Linked DNA regions of Macaca fascicularis. The protein of the gene in region 3 interacts with the protein of the main gene of each other region in a pairwise test. Links are inferred from orthologs where the notes say so. Each region holds a gene or a part of one and is shown on either strand. Other genes may lie near its edges. The genes, in order: PDCD6, PLSCR1 and ANXA11.

Evidence for each region.
Region 1: the proteins of ANXA11 (region 3) and PDCD6 interact in binary tests that used the Homo sapiens proteins (3 or more experiments, as listed by UniProt). The link is inferred for Macaca fascicularis from reciprocal best matches to the Homo sapiens genes ANXA11 and PDCD6.
Region 2: the proteins of ANXA11 (region 3) and PLSCR1 interact in a two-hybrid assay, tested with the Homo sapiens proteins (2 studies listed by BioGRID and IntAct). The two-hybrid records come from large-scale screens. The link is inferred for Macaca fascicularis from reciprocal best matches to the Homo sapiens genes ANXA11 and PLSCR1.

The regions. Positions count from the first base shown.
Region 1 is NC_088380.1:623,987-630,243, reverse strand, and holds the end of PDCD6 (programmed cell death protein 6), read right to left. Parts: intron 4,561-6,257; coding exon 4,451-4,560; intron 1,177-4,450; coding exon 1,078-1,176; 3' UTR 617-1,077; downstream 1-616. UniProt on the Homo sapiens protein: Calcium sensor that plays a key role in processes such as endoplasmic reticulum (ER)-Golgi vesicular transport, endosomal biogenesis or membrane repair.
Region 2 is NC_088376.1:49,351,518-49,358,446, forward strand, and holds the start of PLSCR1 (phospholipid scramblase 1), read right to left. Parts: upstream 4,181-6,929; 5' UTR 4,040-4,180; intron 1-4,039. UniProt on the Homo sapiens protein: Catalyzes calcium-induced ATP-independent rapid bidirectional and non-specific movement of phospholipids (lipid scrambling or lipid flip-flop) between the inner and outer leaflet of the plasma membrane resulting in collapse of the phospholipid asymmetry which leads to phosphatidylserine externalization on the cell surface.
Region 3 is NC_088383.1:66,640,741-66,646,997, forward strand, and holds part of ANXA11 (annexin A11), read left to right. Parts: coding exon 1-289; intron 290-1,937; coding exon 1,938-2,025; intron 2,026-2,271; coding exon 2,272-2,366; intron 2,367-3,052; coding exon 3,053-3,166; intron 3,167-4,565; coding exon 4,566-4,656; intron 4,657-5,070; coding exon 5,071-5,150; intron 5,151-5,278; coding exon 5,279-5,335; intron 5,336-6,257. UniProt on the Homo sapiens protein: Binds specifically to calcyclin in a calcium-dependent manner. Required for midbody formation and completion of the terminal phase of cytokinesis.

The DNA.
Region 1 (6,257 bases), on a different chromosome or scaffold from region 3:
CCCCTCACCCCTCAACACACCAAGCAGGGATTTGAGCAGGTAGCAGATCCCAAGAGACCAAAACAGAGAAAAGACGTGCAGAACTGTGTGGAACGAGCAGCGTCAAGGCAGGTGTTCTGAGCAGAGGCTGCAGCCCCGAAACCAGACGCATCACTGCAGAAGGGAAGCGTCCAGAGAATGAGGCTGGGGCTCAGGAGTGTCAACCCAGGGGGGCCCGGCGCTGCACAGCGAGGCAGGGAGGGAGACCGGGCAGCACTGGCAGTGGACCGAGGTGAGCAGGGGGATGTGCTGGGTGGCCATGTGCTGCAGGCCACGTGCGGAGACAGCGTGGCTAAATCATTGATGATGGAAATGCGCAACCTGCTACGCCAAATTGGATTTCTTTATCCACACGGAGCAGTTTTATGAAATGTAGCCTCTTGAACAGAGGGTGAGAGTCCCTCTGGCTTTTCACAAGCAGAGCTGTGCACGCTGGGCTGGACAATGTCCCAGAAGGTGCCCAGGACCCTGGGAGGTCCCAGACGAGCCAGCACATCTGACGCAGTGACTGTCTGTAGGACCAGGGCATGGGGCCTGGTTCTTGGACCTATTTGATTTGAAGAGCTGAAGGCAGACCACAGGTCTAACATTCCCTTTATTGCTTACGTCGCATATACCAATGAATACAATAAACTCCTTTTTAAAAAAGTAAGGCACATGAAAAGCCTTTTGTGCAAGTTCCATATTATTTTAAAATTCCTATTGGCTAATAAAAGCATTTCCACTATAGAACCAGAGACATCTAGAAAAGCACATGATAGATTTCTTTGCAAGCAGAATGCCTCAAACATTATTACATTTACCTCATGGCACAATGAGACAGTCACCAAATCCAATGTCTGCATTATAATGATGCAGCTACTATTATAGTTGGAAAACATTAATCACCTTATCCACATATGTACAGCTGGGTCCCCACACGGTAAAATCTAAAGGAAGAACAGCATCTAACTGCATCTGGGTTCCATTCCCTCACAGGCAGGAACTTTGGCGTTTCGGCTCTTGCCATGTTGTGCTGCTCTTCACGAGAGGCCAGGGTCATACGATACTGAAGACCATGGACAGGTACTGTTCGTACGACACCTGAATCCAGCCATCCTGATCCGTGTCGTAACGTCTGAATATATCCGTCAACCTCTGGGGAGAAAACACACATTTAAATCTCGATAGTGAACGGAAGGAGCAAGGTGCACTGGGACAAAGTCATTAGGAACCCAATTTCAGAAGCACACAGGTCATCTCCTGATGAAGCCCAGCACAGGCAGGCACAGGTGGGGCTGGAGCTGTTCACATGGACAGTGGGAGTGGGAAGAACACAGGGCTGCAGGGCTGGCTCCACTACGTCCAGCCCTGGCTGAGCCCCTGATCCCAGGCCCTGGTCTCCTGAGTCTCCTGGGGGCCTGGGCCCTTCCTTCGCCCCTGAAGACCGTCCCGTGGAGGCCCTCCACCCTCCAGTGGCTCGCCTCTGCTGTGGGGCCACCTGGGCTATGTGGAGCTCAGGACACAGCGGGGGATCTTGTGACATCACGAGGGCTTCAGGCTCCTTCAGCCCCGCCCACCCCTCCCTCTGACAGCCGAGGGTCCAGGCCAGATCAGCAGCAGAGACAGGGTGACCGCCTACACCCTCCTAACAGGGATGGTTAAGTAAGTGCCACTTCTAGATGATGGACTTGGGGCAGCCGTAAACTATCATGAAGATTCAGGCCAGCATGGTGACTCTCGTCTGTGATCCCAGCACTCTGGGAGGCCAAGGCGTGAGGATCGCTTGAGCCTGGGGGTTGAGGCTGCAGTGAGCCGTGTTCACACCACCACACTCAGGCCTGGGTGACAGACAGCAAGGGTCTCTCAAAAAAAAAAAAAAAAAAAGGAAGGAGAAGGAAAAAGAAAGAAGAAGAAGAAGAAAATGTGACAAGGGAAGAAAACAGCAGTCCTCGCATATCAGAACGTGGACAGGGTGTGGTGACTCTCGCCTGTGATCCCAGCTACTCAGGAGGCCAAGGCGGAAGGATCGCTTGAGACTTGGGGTCGAGGCTGCAGTGGGCTGTGTTTACACCACCACATTCCAGCTGGGGTGACAGAGCAAGACTCCATCTCAAAGGAAAAAAAACCACCCTGCAGGAACGCCACAGCACCACCAGGCCCCTGGACTTGGCAGCAGCTACGGCCTCACCAAACTCCAAAAACACCTGCAATGGATGATGCTGGCTTGAAGAATAATGGGTAATTTTTCTTTTTTTTTTTGAGACGGAGTCTTGCTCTGTCACCCAGGCTGGAGTGCAGTGGCCGGATCTCAGCTCACTGCAAGCTCCTCCTCTCGGGTTCACGCCATTCTCCTGCCTCAGCCTCCCGAGTAGCTGGGACTACAGGCACCCGCCACTTCGCCCGGCTAGTTTTTTGTATTTTTTAGTAGCGACGGGGTTTCACCGTATTAGCCAGGATGGTCTCGATCTCCTGACCTCATGATCCGCCTGTCTCGGCCTCCCAAAGTGCTGGGATTACAGGCTTGAGCCACGGCGCCCGGCCGTAATTTTTCTTTCTATTTTGAATCCTTTGTGTTTTTCTAGAGTTTCTAAAAGTGTTCATATTATTTGTTAAAAAATAATTTTCAAAAAGCCTTTATCCTTTTGGAAAAAGCAGATGAATCAAAACATTTTTGAGGGAATTTTAACTTGTGGTCTGCAGCTTTCTTTTCTTTCCCATTCCCCATCTGTCTAGTGTTTAGGGTCACTCTCCAAGGGTGGGGAGAGCCCGGGAACTGGCTGTCAGGCCCTCCCCACGCGGTCTGGAGCCGGGGCCTTGGGGAGGCAGCACCCCCCAGGAGGAGCTACCCTTGCTGCGGATGTGCCTTGGAAGGCGCTGGAGAGGTCACTGTGAGGCCGCCAGTGTTACTCCAGCTACCGAAAGCTCACACAAGATCAACGTTAACTTACAGAACATAGTCTCAAATGAAGATCTGAATCCTACAGCAATTCAGTCACGGTACATAACGAGATTTTACACTGCATCTTTTCCCTCTTTTTTTGTGAGACAGTGTCTGGCTCTGTCACCCAGGCTGGAGTGCAGTGGTGTGATCTTGGCTCACTGCAACCTCCACCTCTTAGGCTCAAGTGATTCTCCTGCCTCAGCCTCCTGAGTAGCTGGGACTACAGGCATGTGACACCAGGCCCGGCCTACACTTTTTTAAAGTGTTCAGAGAACATTGTGAAAATATCATCCAACGTGGCAGGAACCCCAAGAGGCAGGGCAGGAAAGGCTCCCCCACTGTCGAGTTTTGAGGCTTCCATGTTCACAGACCTGGTTCTCCAACAAATCCCTGAAGAGCAGGGACTGATGGATCCATAAACCAGAGGAAACTCACTTTTACAGATCTAGCATTTTAATTGTTACATAGAATAAACAATTTGGGAACGTTTCCGAATTTCCCCATTATTTCTAAAAACCCCATGCTGTTCCTCTCTCTCACGGAACTGCGCGGCCACCAAGGCAGGACCTTGAGGAATCTGGGTGGAGACCGGGATCTCCACCTGCACACAGCAGCAGGGGTCTGTGTGGAGCTCCCAGGCGGGTCCCCTGAGCCCTGCTCTCCATCTCCGTGCGTCTCAGAGAGAGCACAGCAGGAAAGACGTCACCAAAGAGCTTGCCTTGCAGGTCAGGGTGCATTACAAGCTCCTGCAGACACTGGTGTGCACAGGAAGAGCGCGGAGACCCCACCGAGGGCAGCCCGAGTGCCCACAGGCTCCACAGCTGACCTCACACACAACGACGGCAGGACACAGGGATGACCACAACAGAAAACGTGTCCCTTTTCTCAGAATAAAAGTTTTTGCAAAAATACACTATCATTGGCCAGGCACAGGGGCTCATGCCTGTAATCCCAGCACTTTGGGAGGCTAAGGCGGGCGGATTATTTGAGGTCAGGAGTTTGAGATCAGCCTGGCCAACATGGCAAAACCCCATCTCTACTAAAAATACAAAAATTAGCTGGGTGTCACCTGTAATCCCAGCTACTGGGGAGGCTGAGGCAGGAGAATCGCTTGAACCCGGGAGGCAGAGGTGAGAGTGAGCCGGGATCGTGCCATAGCCTGGGTGACAGAGCGAGACTCGGTCTCAAAAAAAAAAAAAAAAAAAAAAAAAATCAGAACACCAGAACATACGTGTAACTAACCCACCGGATACTGCAAAAACAGCGTCTTCCAGATGGGCTGCTCTATGCCATTTCCAAGGGGAGGAAAACATGTTTGTCTACACTTCCACTAACCAGCTACTTCTCCAAAGATGAGACTCAGTCTTACAAGCTCCAAAAACTAATTCTACATACGCCTGACTCCTTGGATTGAAGGTCAGGTGCATCACGCTGGCAAGCGAACCCCTCCCACCACCACAGCAAACCCAGGCAAAGCCACTCCGTCACCTGCAGGACGATGCAGCCCTGGATGAAGTCGTCGAAGGCGATCTGCCCCCGTCCCTGCCTGTCGAACTTTCGAATGAGGATGTCGTGGAACTGGTCAGAGAGCCGGTAGCCTTGAAGAGTGAAAGTTGGAGTCAGAGAGGGCTGGGAGAGACGGGAGGTATGTGCCAACGCCCACCCCTCCCTCCCAAGGCCCACAGCCTCTAACACACACGATGCAAGGCTGGGTGCGAACGGAAGTGCAAATTCACTCAAAGGCACTCAGAACTGAGACGCTTCCCGAATACGTCGCTGTGTAATGAGCTCACATCTGCAGTGCATGGAGCGACCCCTCGAGACCAGGACCCTGGAAGGAGGAGCGAGTGGGACGTTGCCATCGGTCACTCTCGTGAATTAACTACTCACCCCAGGGAAGCACTCACCAACCACCACCCCACAGGGCGGCCACGCTCAGTTCGTGAACCCAGTGGAGTTACTTTCAAAGTCCTTATTGATTTTATTATGTTTATTAACCTAGATAAGAAAATTCTGAATGATTCACCGCCCTGGGTTGCTTGTCACCAGACAATGCTTTGAAAACTAAAATTTCACAGAAGGTTTCCAGTTATACAAAGTGTCAATGTCAAGAAATGGGAGTGTCTGGGGGATGTGCCCCACCCGCCATGAGGGACTGACGGGCACAGTGGCAGGGTGACCTCGGAAAGGTCCAAGTCACTGCAGGGCCACCAAGGGCTAGGATTTCGTTTCCAGTTCACCGAGCCTGTCCTGAAAAAGGCCTCCCACAGGGAGAGGGCTCTGAAGACGTGTGGAGGCAGCAGGTGTGTTCGGCACCTTGGAGAGCACGCCCCGCCTGCCTCCCTCCCTTGCCTCCCTCGAAATCCCACTGCCTTCGTGACTGTGGCAGCCTTACTGACTCAGGAGGCAAGATCCAGGTGCCGATCTGTTTTTACTGGTTTTCAGCCCTGCTGGAATCTCTGCAGGGATGTGTGCACCTACTGTCTGAATCTCACAGTTAATCGCCTGCACAAACAGCCCCTTCACGGATAAAGAGTCAAGCACACACACATGAACACAGTGCCTTCCAGAGTGGTCAGGGCGTTCTGCCATTTAACTTCAGGGGTCCCTAAACGTGCAACAGTGGAGTTGCTTCGGACCCTCCTTCCCTGCAAGCTGAGAAGACAGGACCTCCCGTTACATTCAGAAAGAGATGGCAGAGTTGTGAACAGCTGCCACTTCTTCTGGTCCCTACTATTCCCACCTCCTCACTCCCTGCACCTGTACCGCGGGTGAGCCCGGCCTGCTGAGGACAGACAGCCCGGCCTGCTGGGACACGGCCACAGGGACACTCCTGTCTGGGAATGCACAGGGGACAGAGGTCATCACTGGGGTGCACAGGGGACAGAGGCCATCACTGGGGTGCACAGGGGACAGAGGCCATCACTGGGGTGCACAGGGGACAGAGGCCATCACTGGGGTGCACAGGGGACAGAGGCCATCATTGGGGTGCACAGGGGACAGAGGTCATCACTGGGGTGCACAGGGGACAGAGGTCATCACTGGGAATGCACAGGGGACAGAGGCCATCACTGGGGTGCACAGGGGACAGAGGCCATCACTGGGGTGCACAGGGGACAGAGGCCATCACTGGGGTGCACAGGGGACAGAGGCCATCACTGGGGTGCACAGGGGACAGAGGTCATCACTGGGGTGCACAGGGGACAGAGGTCATCACTGGGGTGCACAGGGGACAGAGGCCATCACTGGGAATGCACAGGGGACAGAGGCCATCACTGGGGTGCACAGGGGACAG
Region 2 (6,929 bases), on a different chromosome or scaffold from region 3:
GCTTTCAAAAAGTATTAAGTAAAATCTGGAACCCAAAGGGGAAGCATACTTAATTTTGACAGTTCCTAAAATTTGTTTACCCACACCAGATTTGGATTATTTATTTACATTTACTTGTTAATTGGCTAAGAACAACCTCCTTCCCTCATTCCCGCAAAACAGAGGATAAAGCATTTCACATTCTCTTCAAGTCCCAAGATAGGGATATATGTTTTGAATTATTTTAGCAAAATGCTACTGCTCTGAAAACAATCACAAGAATTCTAGGTCCCTAACTTCCTCCCGATAACTGAGAATATAGATACTAGACTAGAGGGAAGGGAGGAATTTCAAGTAGGCCAGGAGATTACACAGGTAAGTCATGAATCAAATAACTTTCATGTCATTTGGGTTATGTTTGTATGCAAACTTTGTACATTTAAAAATGTTTAGTTAACATCTAACAAGGAAAAATATTCATCTTTTGAACTCGGGTTTTGGTAAATGTTAAGCTTAGAAAAAACTGATGCATTTAAGCAAATGGGTGGCGCAAGCAGCTGGTGAGGCTTTTGAGTATACAGCACATCATACCTGTAAGCTATGGAATGAAACTGGGGGGACTGAGGCTGATTATAAACGCAAAGTACCTTGTAACAAGGAGTCACTCCATAAAAATCCTCTTGCGTATTTTATGCTTAACAAACAAAATAAATATGCTTAAAACCAGTTTAGGATAGCCTTTTATAGCATTTTATAGTACACCTTGAATAAAAATGTAGATGATACATCAACTAGGACCAAGTGAGATGGCAGTGATCAAGTGTTCTACAAAACTAAAAAGTAAAAAAAAGAGACAAAGGAAACAAATATTGAATCAGTTACTGTCATTTGATTGCTTTACTGCTCTGAAAAGCCTTTCCTGACAACCCAGAGCTCCCTCACAAATTTGAGTTGTTTCCTTTCCTCCTAATAAATGGTGAAACTAAACCCATAGAAATAAAAGTGACTTTAATAAATGTGATACAGTTCACTAACTAGCTGAATTAAGATGATCAATAATTCATATTCTTTGCATCGATGTCTCTAATTCACTGAAAAAAGGAAGACTGACACCCTTCAGTGAAATTTGTTAAAAGACTCTTTTAAGGTATCTTTTTTATGTAAGACAGAAAAGGCTTGAATTTCAATTTCCTCTTGTACCACTTAGCTTTAACTAGGTCAGGTGCTAAGTTCATGTGTTGGAAACTTAATTTCCAATGCAACTGTGTTGGGAGGTGGGGCCTAATAAAAGATGATTAGTTCATAGGCACTCTACCTTCATGAATAGATTAATGTTGTTATCTTGGGAGTGGGTTCATTATTGCCAGAGTAGTCTTGTCAAGTTCCATTCTCTCTTGCTGTCTTGCCCTTCCACTTTCCACCATGGGATGATGCAGTAAGAAGACCCTCACTAGATGCTGGTTCCTCCATAGAGTCATGCACCACAACAACAGATCACATATATGATGATGGTCCCATAAGATTATTTTTACTGTACCCTTTCTATGTTTAGATACATAAATACTTGACATTGTATTATACTTGCCTACCATATTCAGCACAGTAACATGCTATACAGGTTTCTAGCCTAGGAGCAATACCTTATTCCACACAGTCTAGGTCTAGTAGGCTATCTGCCATCTCACTGGTCATTCCTTTGCTGGAATGAGCCAAGTTCCCCCCAGCCCAGGACTTCTACCTGTGAAGTTCCCTCTGTCTATAATGCCCTCCACCACTACACACACACACACACACACACACACACACACACACCCCCAGCCCAGGACTTCTACCTGTGAAGTTCCCTCTGTCTATAATGCCCTCCACCACTACACACACACACACACACACACACGTCTATAGACTAATTGATTTGAGACTTCCTTCAGCTCTCAATCTGACTCTCCTCAACACCCCCCACGCCACCACCCCAGCCTAAATAGAAGGCTGGCTATACCATCCAGGATTGTGTAAGTAAATTCTATGATGTTCTCACAACCACCAAATTGCCTCATGATGCATTTCTCAGAATGTATTCCTGTCTTTAAGTAACACATGATTATGTTGGACTTCCTAGTCTCCAGAACTGTAAGAAATAAATTTCTGTCCTTTATAAATTACCAAGTCTCAGGTATTCTGCTACAGCAGCAGACAACATATGGAGACATCATTTTTTTCTAATGACTTATTAAAAGAACATATGGAAAACTGAAGAGTGCAACTGTTCTGATTAACTAAAAAGTGTTTTGGCTTTTTAATTTAGCACTATTCAGGGTAGTGCTATAGAGTGTGTATATACACAGATACACATATATACATATAGAAATACTTCCTATATAAATATTCACTAAATATAAAGCTGGTGTGGTTTTTAAGGAATTAATTGAAGGCATAGAGCATGCAAAGCACTATACCAGGCACTAGAGCACAATACCTAGACACTAGGGAGACAGACAATTAAGAATGTAATAGATTATTATAAACACTCTAAGTGCTATCAATAAAATTAATGTTGCTACAAGAAAGGGTTACAGGACACTAACTTAAACAGTGGTAGGGGGTTTAAGAAAAGTCAGACTGGGAGCTGAAGGAAATCTCAAATCAACTAGTCTACGGAGGTATGGTGGGTGGGGTGTTGGAGGGCATTATAGAGACAGGGAACTTCATAGATAGAATTCCTGAGCTGGAGGAACATGCCTCATTCAAGGAAAGGAAGACCAGTGAGGTTACAGAGCAGAAGAGGGAGACATTCTTAGAGATGAAGACGGAGAGGTACATAAGGGTCTGCTCACACACATTTGATGTCTCTCCACCTGTACTCTAAGCTCCTTTACAGATCTAAAGGCAGTTTGATCTATAAACCAGCTATTTCACATGCCACTTTGCTATCCAACTGCAGAAATCCATTCATTTCCCTTTATATGTCTTTCATTTCCCTGCATTTTCTCGTTGTTCAAAGCCCTACTATGGTTGTAAACCGGGTGGCATTAAGGGAAAAGTTTGCTCTTAGGAAAAGTTCAAGAAAGGAGGCCCCAAACTGCCTGACACGTTTAAGTGTCACTTGTAGTAACCATGTATCTCAATGTGATAAGCCAGAAAAAAAACAACGACTGCCTGTTCCTGGAACTGGGAAGTGGCCATGCCAAGACTTCCAGGAATAACAGTGCATGAATGAAACCACATGGGAACCGGAGAGTCAGCTTGGAGAAGCAGGAACTTTGTCAAATATTTAAAATAATAAAAGCTCACTTTCACTGAGTACTTTCTGTAGTGCCAGGCACTGCTCTAAGAACTTTACATTAACACATATAATACTCTGTAGCTCTTTTAATAGTTACACAATTTCAGAGATGAGGCAATGGAAAGAATATATATTAAGAAAGTGGCTGACAATCCACAGATGTGAAGCAGTAGAGGCCAAATTTAAAGTCGGGGAGCCTGACTGGAGCTAATGGTCTTAGGAACCGTGCCAGATACCGCCGCTATCTTTTCCAAGCTAGTATTGTAGAGGGTTTAGCATAGATGTGGGCTCCAGGCGGACTTCAGTGAATACTTACTGATAAATGCCAGCTTGCAGGCTGTATTAACCGTCCCTTCTAATAGCCCCACTATGCTGGCACATGCTCCCGAGCCCAGTCTCTGCCCAGGATTCAGCGCCGCTCTCTGCCTGTAGAGCAGTGTAGCTAAGGGGAAGCTGAGCCCCGCGAGGCGTTTTCAGGCAGGACACCCCTTTTCATTCGAATGATTCTGGGTGAGCCCAGGTGCCGCTGGGCCGCCTGGGGCCCCTTGCCGTGCATCTGCTCCACTTACAGGGTCCCTTTCAGAGGTCTCTTGCATTTCTGGCCCCAGCCTTCACCCCACATCCTCCACCCCCAGAGCAGCAAACACAACCGGCTGGCCCTCGCGCCCGTTCCCCGTAAGTTGGCCCCCACACCTGATCCCGGCCCTGGCCCCAGCGCAGGCTCCGCGCAGTTCTCGCGCCCGAGCCCCGGGGAGGCGGCAGAGAAAGCCGCTCGCGCACCTGTGGCTGCCGCTGTTTCCGCTCCCGAGAGAGCCGAGGTCTAGAGAGCCGGGGTCAGGCGGTGGCTTCCTCTCCTGCGCCTCTAGACTGCAAGGAACGGCTACTGCGCAACCTTCTCGGAAATCAGCCGGAACAGGGTCTGCGAGTAACCCTTGCGCCAACAGCCGCGGCTACTGGTTTCGTTTCCTGGATCTTACGTACACAACGCGGTTTCCTTTTCCTGGTTCCCGCGTTCGCGCCGGGGGACCCGCGGGACTATTGCAGGATGAAGAAGCTGGAGGAGGGACTGCACCCACCACCAGGTGTGAGGCCCCTCCCCTACCCCCGACTTGCTTTCTTGCTCATTGGAGAGACTCCAGAGACTTTTGACCGGTGGTTAAGGAGAGGAACTGGGACTCTGTCACTAACTGGAACTGGAAAGTCATCAGCTGGGGAGTGGCCTCCCCCGGGAACTTTCTTTACTCTGACTTTGACCTCCATCCCTCGGAAGCCCGTGGCTTTTCAACGCAAGGAAGCAGAGGCAGCTTAGACTACAAATGAGGAGTGGTCAAAATTGTTTTTTTTTATGGTGCCTTTTCTTTCTTGCTGTCTTGCTCTTTCTTTCCTTCTATTAAATTATGTGATATTATTTTTTATTTTTTTAGGCAGTTATTTAAATGTTTTTAAGAGCTCACCTTATTTTTTAATAAATATTGTTCCTTTTTAAACTAAAATAGTTTTTATTGTCTGTATTTAAGTTATGTGTATGACATATCCATCAACTCCTATAATTACACATTTCCCCCCTTGGGGCAAGAGCAGCTCTAATTTACTCATTTAGCATAAATCCTGAATACCACGATCATTAACTATAGCCCTCATGTTGTACATTAGGTCTTCCCATTTGTTCATCCTACATGTTTGTAACTTTGAATTCTTTGGCCTAAATTTCCCCATATCTCCTGACCCTACTCCAACCTGGATGACCCTGGATAAACCGGTGGTCCCCAACCTTTTTGGCACCAGGGACCAGTTTCACGGAAGAGGATTTTTCCATGGACCAGGGTCGAGTGGCAGACGGTTTCAGGATGATTCAAACATATTGTATGTATTGTGCACTTTATTTCTATTATTGTTACATTGTAATATATAATGATGCTGTCAGTGCAGACACATTTGATGACATGGTGGCCTTCAATAATTGCTTCTATGTGTTCTTTGTGTTCATGTTTTCATGGTTTCTGTTTTTTTGTTTGTTTGTTTGTTTGTTTGTTTGTTTTAACAAAACAAAACAAAAACTCCAAAGGCTTGTCTTTTAACGCAGGGTGCTTGGTCTCCATGTGGCAAAGCAGTTTTGCAGGTTTCGAGGCTTCATTGCATAGTCGATCATCACATATTATACAAAGCAGGGTTGGAGAATGTGAACCACCTGTTGCAGTGAACCTGTAATTTAAGTAGGACTCTTGGCATTTTCCTTTAAATGTGGCTTTATTTTTTTTAGCAGTTTTAGAGTCTTCTGTTGTCTCATCATTGGGTTTTCCCCATTTTCAAAGAAGCTGTCCAGTAATGTTTGTTTTTCACTCACTTTGGCTAGGCTAGGCTTAGCTTGTGGGCTTAGCAAAACTGTGACTAAGACAAGTGCACAGTGTGGGAAAGAGGTGCGGATGGAAGTGGTAAAATAATGGGTGAGCCATGCACAGACTAAAATAAGTGTTGGATTCTGACTGAAAGCCTGCCACCAGATGCAGCTGTACAATTGAAGTACATCAATTTTCCACTATAAAGCCTGCCTCCGGACACAGCTTAATTGTCACTTGTCACTTGCTCCTCACTGATAGGGTTTTGATATGAGTCTGCAATCAATGTATTTATTATGGTCTCTGTGCAGTCAAAACTCTCTGCTAATGTTAATTTGTATTTGCAGCTGCTGCCCAGTACTAGCATCACTGTCTGAGCTCCACCTAAGATAACCAGGCATTAGATTCTCATAAGGAATATGCACCTAGATCCCTCACATGTGCAGGTCTGTGGCCTGGGGCTTGCAGACCCCTGCTATAAACCACTGCTGTATATATTTGACCTTTTGTTAATTTCATGTAAATGAGATTGTACAAAATTTTTCTTTCTGTGTCTGGTTTATTTCATTTAGCATAATGCCTTCCAGGTATATCCATGTGATAGCACCTGGCAGAATTTCCTTCTTTTATAAGGCTGAGTAATATTCCATCGTGTGTGTGTCTGTGTGTGTGTATACACACACAATGGAATATATGTATCTTTCTTTATACATTTGTCCATTGGTGGACACCTAGATTATTTCTATTATCTTGACTATTCTGAATAATGCTACAATGAACATGGGAGTGCAGCTATCTTCAGGAGATGGTGATTTCATTTTCTTTTGGTATATACCCAGAAGAGGGATTTCTGGGTCATATGGTAGTTCTATTTTTAATTTCTGTAGGAACCTCCATACTGTTTTCCATAATGGCTGTACCAGCCTACATTCCCACCAACTGTGTACAAGGATTCTCTTTTCTCTACACCCTTGCCGACACTTGTTATCTCTTGTCTTTTTGATAATAACAATCCTAATAGGTATGACATAGTATCTCATAGTGATTTTGATTTGCATTTTTCTGATGAATAGTGATGTTGGGCACATTTTCATATACCTGTTGGCTATTTTTATGTCATTTTTGAAGAAGTGTCTATTCAGGTCCATTTCCCATTTTTAAATTGGGCTATGTCTTCTTGCTATTGAGTTGTATAAGTTCTTTATAAATCTCGGAAACTAAACCCTTCTCTGATAACATGGTATGCAGATATACTTTTTTCCAAACTATAGGTTGTCATTTCATTTTGTTGATTGTTTCCTTTGCCGTGCAGAAATTTTTGGTTTGATGTAGAA
Region 3 (6,257 bases):
GCCCCCCTCTGCCCAGCAGCCTGTTCCTCCCTATGGGATGTATCCACCCCCAGGAGGAAACCCATCCTCCGGGATGCCCTCATATCCGCCATACCCGGGGGCCCCTGTGCCGGGCCAGCCCATGCCACCCCCCGGACAACAGCCCCCAGGGGCCTACCCTGGGCAGCCACCAGTGACCTACCCCGGTCAGCCTCCAGTGCCACTCCCTGGGCAGCAGCAGCAGCCAGTGCCGAGCTACCCAGGATACCCAGGGTCTGGGACCGTCACCCCCGCTGTGCCTCCAACCCAGGTGAGTGTCAGCCCACTGCCTCCCTCGGCCCAGGCCTGGGCCCCAAAGACTGGAGACACATGGTCCAGTAGATGGGGAGACAGGGAAAGGCGCAGGCCTCCAGCTGCAGCTTCTTGTTTTAACAAAGAGTGTCGGCCAGGTACAGTGGCTGGTGCCTGTAATCCCAGCACTTTGGGAAGCTGAGGTGGGCAGATCGCTTGAGCCCAGGAGTTCAAGACCAATCTGGGCAAAATGGTGAAACCCTGTGTCTACTAAAAATAGAAAAAAAATAGCTAGGCATGGTGGTGTGCGCCTGTAGGCCCAGCTACTCAGGAGGCTGAGGTGGGAGGATCATCTGAGCCCAGGAGACAGAGGTTGCAGTGAGCCGGGATCATGCCACTGCACTCCAGCCTAGGCAACAGAGTAAGACCCTGTCTTTAAAACAAACAAACAAACAACAACAACAACAACGAGAAACAGAAAAACAAAGAGCGGCACCTTCTTGCAGACTCCCCACCTCTGGGTTGTGTTGCTTAAGGCCCAAGGGAGCTGCCCTGTTTCTCCCAGTGTGATGAGACACTCCACATGCGAGTTGGGTCAGAACGCTCCTGGCGAGTACTCCTTATTCCTCTGTGTCATTCACTGCCTGGGCTGTGTGTTTTGTAAGAACTGCCCAGGCCACCTGTCTTAAGCCTTTGTGCCCAACAGCATCTCCAGTCCTTGATATGCGCCCCCCACAGACGGGTTTTGGAGGATTCTTAAAATTCCCTTTGGGTAGGGAAAATGTTGGCAGTTCCTCCAGGGTTGATCTTGGCTCATTTTGGAGAACAGTTCATGTTTGCAGAGCCTAGAATTCGTTGTCATGGTTATATGGCCCAACCAGCCAGCACAGGGATATGGTATGTGCTTGATGACTATTTTTGGACAGAGGGTCTCCTTTCCTCCTTCCCTTCCATACGCACATGTTCCCCCACCCCTGTGCCATCCTCCAGCCTCTCTCCCTTATCTTTTCCCTGAGCTGCCCCCATAATTGTGTTATAACCAGTTTGTACCAGCTCCTAGGAAGACAATCCACTGGGAGACAGTATAACCTGGAAAGTTCAAATTTGCTGGGTTGTGCAGCTGTCAGGGTCTGGAGGAAGTCCGGCAGGTTTTAGTCTAGAGAACAGTGCCAGGGAACCAGTGCTAGATCAAGAGGTCGTCAGGCTGCCATGCACAGTTGTGGAGTCTGAATACCTGCATCTGCTGGAGGGTCCACATGGGCTAGCCAGCCCAGTTAGGAGTACCCACGTGTGCTCACATGCTGTGGAGACCAGTCATCTATGAGAGAGGCCACAGCCCCTGCTCCTGAGGCTTGCCCTTCATCGGGAGCCTGAGCCCCAGCCCTGGAGGACCTGGGCACTGGGCAGATTTACAGCGTCAGGTTTCAGCTATAGGTGGGCTCCCAGCCACTGGAGCCAGGAAAAAGCTTCCGTACTAGAACACAAGGCCAGATAACAGTCAAGTTAGGCAGACTTGGCGTAGAGTCCTCTGCATTGTTGACTGTGGGTTCCTTTAGATACTCCAACTCTTAGAGAAAGGGCTGTTCCCAGAGTCTGGGGTGGAGCAGTCTTGAATCTGGGGAAGGTGGCATACGTATCATCTTACCTGTGACTGTTTGTCCGAGTAGTTTGGAAGCCGAGGCACCATCGCTGATGCTCCTGGCTTTGACCCCCTGCGAGATGCCGAGGTCCTGCGGAAGGCCATGAAAGGCTTTGGTAAGAGACCCTGGGTGGCTCAAATCCTACCCCCTGCCTCCTATTCCCCAGGCAGTTTCACAGTGGCTCTGTGGGCTAGGGTAGCTAGGGGACGCAGACCTGGCCCCAGTGGTAATAAAAGAGAAGATGGATGTGGGATTGCGCCTGGCATGCCCAGAACAGTTGAGGCACCCAGGCCAGGGAAGTCTCAGCTGCAGAGCATCTCATAACCCCTGCCCGACCCACTCCTGCTGCCTCTTCCTCCAGGGACGGATGAGCAGGCTATCATTGACTGCCTGGGGAGTCGCTCCAACAAGCAGCGGCAGCAGATCCTCCTTTCCTTCAAGACAGCTTACGGCAAGGCAAGCTGCGGGGTGGGGGCGCGGGACAGCGAGGCGTGTCCTGAGCTCAGCACAGCCCTACTCACCCCTGCTTTTTCTTGGGTGGGTCCGGGTCTCCCGGATGGACAGTAAGGAGCAGGAGGGCATTTCCTTCTGCCCACCCAGCAGGTGACATCGTTGGGAGATGAAGGATGCCAGAGGGTGCCAAGGTTTGCTGAGAGGCTCCAGACATCTAGCCCTGGGTTCTAGCCCTTGCTCTGCCACATCTCACTAAGGTTGTGGCCACATCATTTTCCTTCCCCTGCCCTCTTCATGACCACCCTGGGGGGTTTAGCTGATGTAAGAACTTTGCAGGGAAAGGCTGTGAGCACTGCCCAAGTACGAGGGGCATGTATGAGCGCATTTTGAACTTCTGGGGTTTTGAATCTTAGAAAGGTAAAAATTGGGTAAATATTGATTAGATTCATGTTCTAGCCCAGTGCTTCTCACACTTCAATGTGTCACCGACCCTATGGGCATCTTGGTAAAATGTGGTCTCTGATTCGGGAGGTTTGGGGCAGGCCTGAGAGCAGGCTTTTCTCTCGGGCCCCTGGGGGATGTCCGTGCCGCTGCTCCTCGAATCTGGGATATGGCTCTTAGTAGTCACCTCCTGTGGATTTTTAAAATAGACTTTGTTTGTTTGTTTGTTTGTTTGAATATCCAATCAGGATTTGATCAAAGATCTGAAATCTGAACTGTCAGGAAACTTTGAGAAGACAATCTTGGCTCTGATGAAGACCCCAGTCCTCTTTGACGTATATGAGATAAAGGAAGCCATCAAGGTGTGTGTGTGTGTGTGTGTGTGTGTGTGTGTGTGTGTGTGTGTGTGTGTTTTCATGCATTCATGCATGTGGACACACAGCCCAGAAGGAGGCCTGGACAGTGTGCTGTGTTCTAGCCCACTCATTAGCTGCTGTTATCAGTATGGCTCCCAGGCCTTCCTGGGTTAGAGTCCACATGCTGTAGAAAAGGGAATTCCCTGTGATTTCCCCAAGAGGCGAGTGATGCACCCGTCATCATCAGGGAGCCTTAAGTCTCTCTCTATCTGGTCTCTCTCCATCTTAAAGAAATGGTGGAGCTAGGGTTTGAAGGTGGCAAGTCTGTGGTAAGCAGAGGGGTAGGAGGCCATGGTTGGTATCGTTCCCATTCTTTAGGACTCTGTTACTAGCAAATGACAGAAACACACTTCGGTTTAAGAAGAACAAAGGTGGAGAATCAGTTGTGTGGGTAAAGCCAAGCTGCCTGGCATGGAGAGGGCCAGGCCAGACGTCTCTCTAGTCTCTGCCTCTCCTGAGCGCCTGCTCTTCTGTCCGTTTCTGTGCTTCTCCTGCCATGGCTGCTTCATGCGGGGTTGGGGAGGGGTGCCTGTTGACCACTCTCCGCCTACCTATGAGACCCAGCTCCAGAAGAATCCAGCAGGATCTCCAAACAGGGGCAGGTTCTGACGGGTCCAACTTGGGCTCACTGTTTCCTCCAGTCCTGTGAGTTTTGACTGAGGGGCGGATCCTGTCCATTCTGTGCGGTCCCACAGCTCTGTGTGCACCCCACGGGCAAGGGCAGGCGGCGCAGTCCCGAAGCTCTGTGTGCACCCCGCGGGCGAAGGCAGGCAGCACAGTCCCGAAGCTCTGTGTGCACCCCGCGGGCGAGGGCAGGCAGCACAGTCCCGAAGCTCTGTGTGCACCCCGCGGGCGAGGGCAGGCAGCACAGTCCCGAAGCTCTGTGTGCACCCCGGGGGCGAGGGCAGGCAGCGCAGTCCCGAAGCTCTGTGTGCACCCCGCGGGCGAGGGCAGGCAGCGCAGTCGCGAAGTCCTGTGTGCACCCTGCCGGCTAGGGCAGGCAGCGCAGTCCCGCAGGCCTGTGTGTAACCCAACCATTTACTGTGTGGCCTTGGACCAGCCAGTACCCCTCTCTGATGCTCAGTTTTCTGATCCATGGGAGTGCCCCTTTGTGTGAACCCTACTCATCACCGCTGCCACTGTCAGTGTGCTTGCCCGGGCTGTGGAGAGGAGCTGACTTCCTTAAGCCTGGGAGTAGCTGGAGGGTGTGTCTCTGTGTCAGGGGCCTCTGTTGCTGGGGTTTGGCCCTGGGGTCCAGGCAGCAGCATGGCCCCACTCTCCTTCCCGGGTGCTGGTAAGGCTGCTGGAACAAGCGCATGGTTGGTTGTATTCTCTGCCCCTGCAGGGGGTTGGCACTGATGAAGCCTGCCTGATTGAGATCCTCGCTTCCCGCAGCAATGAGCACATCCGAGAATTAAACAGAGCCTACAAAGCAGGTGACACCACTCCCTCTGCCCTCTGCAGATCCCTGTGCTCTTGGGGCTATGGCCTCACTGTCTCCTAGGGCCTCTTACTCCTTCCTGGCCTTCTTATCAACCTATCTTCTGCCACCCCCAGCACACTGGGCTTTGACCCAACACCCAACCGTTCCTTCTGTGTATACATGGTGCAAATGACTAAAGTAAGGGAGCGCCAGGGGAAACCTGGATGTGGTTTGGGCCAAGGCTGACTAGAGCCCAGGTCAGCCTGGAGGTCGCAGGCTTGTATATCCCTGGAGGGCCATGTGGGCTGTTTGCTCTCTCGAGCCCGAGCCGAGACCTCTAGCCTTATTCTCCCCACTACAGTGTTTTGCAATGGGCAGCTCCATAAACAGAGCTACAGGGTGGACCTTCTTTGCTTCTCCCTTTCAGAATTCAAAAAGACCCTGGAAGAGGCCATTCGAAGCGACACATCAGGGCACTTCCAGCGGCTCCTCATCTCTCTCTCTCAGGTACTTTTCCCATGACAGGGCTCGGGGCCCCCAAGCCATGGAAGTCAAAGAGATGGGATCCCAGCAATGAGGAAAGGGAAAAGAAATGGGGAAGGAGTGGGCTTGACCATACACCTGCTTCCTTTCAGGGAAACCGTGATGAAAGCACAAATGTGGACATGTCCCTCGCCCAGAGAGATGCCCAGGTGAGTGTGATGGCCAAGCCCCTGGACTTCCTAAAGCAGGGTGTACCTCGCTTTCTTGCTTCCTGAGAGAGGTGCCCTAGGGTGGAAAGAACAATAGATAAGCAGTGGGTTGCAGATGCCACGAGTTTCAGTCGTGCTCAACTGCTCAACTGTATGACCTAGAGCAGGTCGTCTGACCTCCTGGGCTTCACCTTCCCCACCTACGGGAAGGAACATGTGAGATAATTAGTATTTCAGCAGTTGATAGATCACGGTTTTGGATGTGGGATTTCGTGCGACTGCGTGCTTTCCCCATGTTTAGTTGCACATACCATTGTTTGCAAAGGGGCAGAATTTGCACTTGCCTATTAGTTTTTTGAGGGTTTGAGCCTAGAAACCAGCTGCCACATTAGTTGAGCAGCCTTAGAATTCTGTCCTTGTCCACCTTGTGAGTTGCAGACAAAAGGGGAAACGTCCAAGCAGTCCAGGCATCTGAGCTACTCTCTAGAAAAGTTTGGGTTTCCCGCTAATGAATTTCAACCGTAGTGTTATGGCAGGGCAGAGCCATGACTTCCTGGTGGGGTAGTTAGCCATACCTCTCTGTCCCCCTTCACTGCCCTTGTCATCCATGGCAGGGCATTCACCAGGAGCTGCCAGTGGTCTAATTATCTCTACCATCTGCAGGTTTCGAATGAGACCCCAAGGAGTGCCCCCTATTTAGGACTGGAGGAGAGCTACTCCTCTGGACTGGTCCTTTTGCTTTCCAGATGAGGAAACTGAGGCTCAAAAAAGTTGAGCACTGTTCCTAACTGAAAGCTAGAGGCAGAGCCCGGACAAGGGCCTATACCCCTGGCTCGGTCCTCCGTGCCCAGTTAGCACCTGCCTCTGCCCTGGTCTCTGCCCTGCTGCTCCTGCAGGGGTCTGCCTTATTCAGTGTCTCTCT